Linked DNA regions of Macaca fascicularis. The protein of the gene in region 1 purifies or fractionates together with the protein of each later gene. This does not show direct contact. Links are inferred from orthologs where the notes say so. Each region holds a gene or a part of one and is shown in the gene's direction. Other genes may lie near its edges.

The links.
Region 2: the proteins of HADHA (region 1) and GPC1 purify together in Homo sapiens (co-immunoprecipitation; 3 studies listed by BioGRID and IntAct, with this or other methods). This does not show direct contact. The link is inferred for Macaca fascicularis from reciprocal best matches to the Homo sapiens genes HADHA and GPC1.

The regions. Positions count from the first base shown.
Region 1 is NC_088387.1:96,011,920-96,015,569, forward strand, and holds part of HADHA (trifunctional enzyme subunit alpha, mitochondrial), read left to right. Parts: intron 1-1,538; coding exon 1,539-1,658; intron 1,659-3,553; coding exon 3,554-3,650. UniProt on the Homo sapiens protein: Mitochondrial trifunctional enzyme catalyzes the last three of the four reactions of the mitochondrial beta-oxidation pathway.
Region 2 is NC_088386.1:136,338,870-136,342,519, forward strand, and holds part of GPC1 (glypican-1), read left to right. Parts: intron 1-218; coding exon 219-384; intron 385-1,425; coding exon 1,426-1,556; intron 1,557-1,665; coding exon 1,666-1,785; intron 1,786-1,887; coding exon 1,888-2,021; intron 2,022-2,298; coding exon 2,299-2,474; intron 2,475-2,882; coding exon 2,883-3,115; 3' UTR 3,116-3,650. UniProt on the Homo sapiens protein: Cell surface proteoglycan that bears heparan sulfate. Binds, via the heparan sulfate side chains, alpha-4 (V) collagen and participates in Schwann cell myelination.

The DNA.
Region 1 (3,650 bases):
CGTGCTTGGCTAGCTTTGTTTTTAGTTATCAAACTTCTGGATAGGTTTTAATCCTTAATCCACATGACACAGAGCAAGTGGCACAGAGCAGGTAAACGAAGGTGTGATGTTTTCATTTGAACTGCATCTCTAATGTCCTTTTGAATTCTAAAAATCTGGTTCAAGTTTGCAGGGCAAAGATTCAGAAGTGTGATCTATGCTCTTAAGCTACTTAAGTCTGGTTGAGACACACAAAGCATAATATAAGTGCTTTGTCAGTAGTAAATTTGGTAAATAATAGAAGACTTGAGAGAAGAGATGCTTACTAGACCCAAACATGTAGGAAAAAAAAGAAGGGGAAAAGAAAACATTGATTGAGCACTTTTCACACGCTGAACTCTGTGCCAGACACTTTCACATATGCAGTCATTTACGACATAACGTTTCAATGACCAATTGCATATACAACAGTGGTTCTATAAGACTGTAACACTGCGTTTTTCTATACCTTTTCTGATAAGCATTTCTTTATAGAAATGCTTATCACTGTGCCACAGTTGCCTACAGTATTCAGTACAGTCACATGCTGTCCAGGTTTGTAGCCCCTTAGGACAGGGGTCCCCAATCCCCAGGACATAGCCTGTTAGGAACTGGGCCCCACAGCAGGAGGTGAGCAGTGGGCGAGTGAACATTACTACCTGAGTTCCACCTCCTGTCATATCAGTAGTAGCATTAGATTCTCATAAGAGCAGGAACCCTGTTGTGAACTGCACATGAGAGGGATCCAGGTTGCACACTCCATTGGCCTCTAATGCCTGATGATTTGAAGTGGAACAGTTTCATCCTGAAACCTCTCCCTCCCACCCCACCCCCAGTTCTTGGAAAAAATTATCTTCCGAGAAACCAGTCCCTGATGTCAAAAAGGTTGGGTACCACTGGACTAGGAGCAACAGGCTATCCCATATAGCCTAGATGTGTAGCAGGCTCTGTCATTTGGGTTTGTGTAAGTACACTCTACGATGTTCACACAACAACAAAATTGCCTAATGACAGGTTTCTCAGAACATATCCCCCTCATTATGTGACACATGACTATATTAATTAAGAAAACCTGTGCCTGGCCCTAAACTATAAGCAGAATTTGATTAACCAGAATATGGAGGGCAAAACAATTCCACACATGGTATGGTGTGAGCAAAGGCAAAAGCAAAGCCAACTAGGACACCATAAGTAGATGTGCTTGATTGGAGAGTCCGGGGCTTTTTAACCTGGAGTCCATATAAAATTGTGTGTGCATTTTTCTCTTGAGAGCTTCTCTAGCTTTCAGTAGATTTTTCAGGAGATCTACAGCCCAAAAAGAGGTTAGTAAATTAGAGGAAAAGTGTGAAAAAAAGGCTAAAAAGGTAAATTCTAGAAATTATTAAATGCCAGCCTAAGGAATTTCAGTTTTTTCTGTGAGCACATTCCTGCTTTATAAGTAATCTTTAGACCCTTATCGATCTTAAGTTGCTACTAAGTCACATTTTCTAACATTCTAATTTTCTTTCATTTGTTCAAAGCTTGCCATTTCATGCCAATACAGAATAGCAACAAAAGACAGAAAAACAGTATTAGGTGTCCCTGAAGTCTTGCTGGGGGCCTTACCAGGAGCAGGAGGCACACAAAGGCTGCCCAAAATGGTGAGTCTAACATCCCCTTTGTGAACCTATATGCCCTCTTTAGATCTGTTTTCGTATATAAAATGAATAATATGGGCATTCATTGTAGAATTAAAAAACCAAATAAAATATGAGTGTACAGGATCAATGACAGACTTTTATTCCTGGTCTTATTTTTTCAATCCCACAGAATTTTTTTTTCTTTTTTCTTTTTTTTTCTTTTTTTTTGAGACAAAGTCTCGCTCTGTAGCTCAGGCTAGAGTGCAGTGGTGCGATCTCAGCTCGCTGCAACCTTCTCCTCGCGGGTTCAAGCAATTCTCCTGCCTCAGCCTCCCGAATAGCTGGAATTACAGGCACGCGCCACTGCACCCAGCTAATTTTTTAGTAGAGACGGGGTTTCACCATGTTGGCCAGGCTGGTCTTGAACTCGTGACCTCAGGTAATCCTCCCGCCTTGGCCTCCCAAAGTGCTGGGATTACAGATGTGAGCCACCACACCTGGCCTAATTCCACAGAATTATTGATCAAGGTCCTTTGTTAGTCTCTGAGGAAGGATAAAGATAACTAAGATGCATGTCTTGCTTTTCTGGAGCTTACGGTTTAATTGGTTCATTTTCCATATAGTACCATCTTAACAGTTTTTCAAAACCATGTCATATTAATATTTCATAATAAATATAAGAGACAGACCTTTTCCTTCATTATCTGATTTGGATGTTCTTATTGCTGTGTCCTATGGAACCAAAGAAGCTCAGCAGGTTTTGAATTCCAAGGAGAAGGGAAGGACAGTCAGACCTGGATGCTACAGAGCAGTCTTAATGTCAACTCAAGGGCCCACTGAACCTCGTAGCTTCTGGCACTCTAGATTCCTCAGTGAAAACAAGGCTCAACAGACATACTTTTTGCAGGGAAGTTGATCTCAGTTGAGCACAAAAGAAAACAAGGTTTATGGTGGTAATTTTCTAATAATAATAATGTGCTTTCCTTCATAGGAATGTCAAAAGGATTTATTGAAAGAATGAATATGCATATATGTGTATCAAAAATATTTGTTGAGTTTCTTTCTCCTTTTTTTTCTTGAACTATAGCTGGTATTTGAATGTTACTAGAAGCCATTCTTCTAATATCATATAAGCAGCCCTAGCTGAGTTCTATTTTTGTTAAGCTTAAAATTCTTTTTAAAGACTTTGTCAAAACGATCAGGTTTCTCAGAGTCTTTGCTGTTTTCAATATGATTTATTTTATCTTATTTTATTTTATTTTATATTTTATTTTATTTTATTTTATTTTTGGAACAGAGTCACTCTGTTGCTCAGGCTGGAGTGCAGTGGCGTGATCTTGGCTCACTGCAACATCCGCGTCCTGGATGCAAGCAATTCTTGTGCCTCAGCCTCCCGAGTAGCTGGAATGACAGGTGTGCCCCACCACGCCCAGCTAATTTTTTGTATTTTTAGTAAAGATAGGGTTTCACCATGTCAGGCCAGGCTGGTCTTGAACTCCTGACCTCAGGTGATCCACCTGCCTTGGCCTCCCAAAGTGCTGGGATTACAGGTGTAAGCCACTGTGCCCGGCCAGAATTTTAAATATTTTATAAATGATAGGGAAAAAAACCCTCAGAATAACAGAAATGTACAAATTTAGGAAACATGAAATTCTTTACCTTATTAGTATAAGAATCCTATATATTGAATTAAGAGATAAAGATATTTTTGCTTCAGCTAGAGGTATCTAATCCCCAAAGTTACCCAAATGTATATCAGTATATTAAATATAACTTATCTATGCTATTGACAAATAGCATAAACATATGGTTTGACTTTTTTCATTTTAATATTTGTTCATTTGATGAATTGTAAACTATATAATTATCACCCTGATTTCTTTCCCCCTATACTCTCATCCTTGCTTGCCTGTTAGGTGGGTGTGCCTGCTGCCTTGGACATGATGCTGACTGGTAGAAACATTCGTGCAGACAGGGCAAAGAAAATGGGATTGGTTGACCAATTAGTGGAAC
Region 2 (3,650 bases), on another chromosome or scaffold:
ATATTCGTGCCTCCCCATGACCCTTGAGATCATTAGAATGAGGGCCGTCAGGGCTGGCAGGCCCGCGAGTCAGGCAAGGGCCATTGCAAGTTGGGGCAGAGCACAGGCCTCCCCTGACTTCCCTCCAGAGCCCCCCACCCTGGGGCTCCATTAAAGGCTGGCTGGGACTGGGCACACCCAGGGCCTTGGGATCTGGCTCAGGCTGCCTTGCTCCCCAGGTCCCCCTGGGCCCAGAGTGCTCGAGGGCTGTCATGAAGCTGGTCTACTGTGCTCACTGTCTGGGAGTCCCTGGCGCCAGGCCCTGCCCTGACTATTGCCGAAATGTGCTCAAGGGCTGCCTCGCCAACCAGGCCGACCTGGATGCCGAGTGGAGGAACCTCCTGGGTGAGCCCCCACCTGCCAGAGCGGCCTGGAACTGTCTTGGGGAGTGTGTGGCGGGGGTCCTGGGGGGGGCGGGTGGTCCCTAGCTCAGGGCTTGGACCCAGGGACCTGATCAGGAATGCCCTGACCAGGGTGTGTGACTTGGGGCAGCTTGCCAGGGAGGGAGCCCTGTGAGGTCGTAGTTTCTTGTGCTTCCCCAGTGAGCACCTCAGTGTGCATACATGCCAACACATGTGACTCACTGTGCATACATGCCAACACATGTGACTCATGGAGGGCCAGCACTTGCTTAAGCTAACACATATATGCACTGTCACATGACAGGCTAACACATGCAAGCTGGCGTGCACACTTGCTGACACACAGCGGGCCGGTGCCCACCAGTATGGTGTGTGCTCCTGTGTGCATGTGATGACATGAGCTGGGCTGACCCGCATCCATGCCAACACGTGTGTGCTAATATGTACATGCTTATCTAGATCCACTAACGTGTACACATGCTTACATGAGGTGGGACAGCATGCATCTGTGCCAACACACGTGCTACCATGTGCTGACATGGAGCCAACACGTGTGTGCTAATGTGATGGGAGCTGACAAAATGCATAAGCTTTACTTGTACATGTGCTCACCATGCATGCAACACACACATGAACTAAGGTGTACGTGGGGGGGCATGAGGTGAGCCAGCATGCATACACACCAGCTCACATGGGCTCATGTGCACACAAGCTGGACCGAGGTGAGTCAGCATATGTACATGTCAACACCTGCATGAGCCAGCGTGGACATACATGAGACACGGCAGGCCAGCGAGCATGCAGAATGGCCTCCGTGTGTGCGTGTCCACCTGTGCCCGTGGCGCATGTGCACATGTGGGCGTGGGCCAGGCTGAGTGCAGCTGAGTGCACGTGGCCTGCACACATCACATGGGCCAACCCGAGTGCGTGCGCGGGATCTCCCATGCCGACCTGTGCTGTTAAGACTGCATTAACATGCACACGTGGTGACGCCTGTGTGCGCGTGTGTTAACGCCTGTGCTAGACTCCATGGTGCTCATCACCGACAAGTTCTGGGGCACGTCGGGTGTGGAGAGCGTCATCGGCAGCGTGCACACGTGGCTGGCGGAGGCCATCAACGCCCTCCAGGACAACAGGGACACGCTCACGGCCAAGGTGCGGGCGGGAGGACATGACGAGCACAGTGGGGTGGGGGTCCTGGATGTGGCTCCATTGGGCTTGAGGGACCCCGCTGCCCCCCAAGGACCCTGTGGTGTCTCCCCAGGTCATCCAGGGCTGCGGGAACCCCAAGGTCAACCCCCAGGGTTCTGGGCCTGAGGAGAAGCGGCGCCGGGGCAAGCTGGCCCCACGGGAGAGGCCACCCTCAGGCACCCTGGAGAAGCTGGTGAGTGGCCCCTCTCCGGTCCACCGGACCAGGCATGAGGGAGGCAGACAGGTGGGGGCGGGCGGGCTCTGGCAACCCAGTGGCCTGACTGCTGCCCGGCAGGTCTCCGAAGCCAAGGCCCAGCTCCGTGACGTCCAGGACTTCTGGATCAGCCTCCCAGGGACACTGTGCAGCGAGAAGATGGCCCTGAGCACTGCCAGTGATGACCGCTGCTGGAACGGGATGGCCAGAGGCCGGTAGGTGCCTGCCTGGCTGGCACAGCCCTCCCTCCCATGCCGTCTCCATTGGGCTGTGCCTGGGCCGGGTGCTGTATGCACAGGGCCACGTCCCTGGCTGGAGGGCTCGAGCCCCACTTCTCTGTGGCCTGCATGGGCTCTGCTCGGTCCCTGGAGGCCTGCTGGGCATCTCAGGCCCAGGGTCTCAGGCTTGGAGGGCGAGAGGGTGTCCTGCTCAGGTGATGGCCCTTTGCAGGGGCTGGAGCAGTGACCTGGGCTCTGCCTGCCTTTCCTCCAGGTACCTCCCTGAGGTCATGGGTGACGGCTTGGCCAACCAGATCAACAACCCCGAGGTGGAGGTGGACATCACCAAGCCGGACATGACCATCCGGCAGCAGATCATGCAGTTGAAGATCATGACCAACCGGCTGCGCAGCGCCTACAACGGCAATGACGTGGACTTCCAGGACGCCAGTGAGAGCAGGGCCTGACCGGGCGGGCAAGGGGCCAGGGATGGCGGGGGTGCCGCAGGGCTGTGACTGCCCTCCAGGTTCCCCCACCCGAGGGGCCCTCTGCTCTAGCATCACCACAGTGACTCAGGACACTGTGCTGCCCAGGCACGGTTACCGAGCCCTGCACCTCTGCGGCCCCTGGAGGCCTGGCCAGGATGTCTATCAGCTTTGGCTCCAGGGACCAAGGGAGGCAGCCCCAGGGAGTGAGAGTCTCCCAGCTTCAGGGTCAGCGGGGATCGGGTGCTGCTGGTCCTGGGATTCCACACCGAAAGGATGTCGGGGTCACCTGGCATGTGGGGTCCTCACAGGGTGATGCTGCCCTGGGGTCTCCTGTGGGGACCAGCCTGCCGGAGCCTTCTCTCCTTCCCAGGTGACGACGGCAGTGGCTCGGGCAGCGGTGATGGCTGTCCAGATGATCGCTGTGGCCGGGGGGCCAGCAGGAAGAGCTCCGGCTCCCGGACGCCCTTGACCCATGCCCTCCCAGGCCTGTCGGAGCAGGAAGGGCAGAAGACCTCGGCTGCCAGCTGCCCCCAGCCGCCCACCTTCCTCCTGCCCTTCCTCCTCTCCCTGGCCCTTACAGTAGCCGGGCCCCGGTGGCGGTAACTGCCCCAAGGCCCCAGGGACAGAGGCCAAGGACTGACTTTGCCAAAAATACAAAACAGACGATATTTAATTCACCTCAGCCTGGAGAGGCCTGGGGTGGGACAGGGAGGGCCAGCAGCTCTGAGCAGGGGCAGGTGCAGAGGCCCTGGCCCCAGGCCTGGCCTTGCCTGCCTCTCTGCCTTTTAATTTTGTATGAGGTCCTCAGGTCAGCTGGGAGCCAGTGTCCCCACAAGCCATGTATTTCAGGGACCTCAGGGGCACCTCCGGCTGCCCAGCCCTCCCCCAGCTCCCTGCACCGCTGCAGAAGCAGCCCCTTGAGGCCTGCAGAGGAGGCCTCAAAGCAACCCGCTGGAGCCCGCAGCGAGCCTGTGCCTTCCTCCCCGCCTCCTTCCGCTGGGACTCCCAGCAGAGCCCACCAGCCAGCCCTGGCCCACTCCTCAGCCCCCAGAGAAGCCCCACAAGGGCTTTCTGGGTGCCCACCCTCCAGGGTCTAGCGGAGCCTCTGAGATGATGCATGATACCCTCCCCTCAGCGC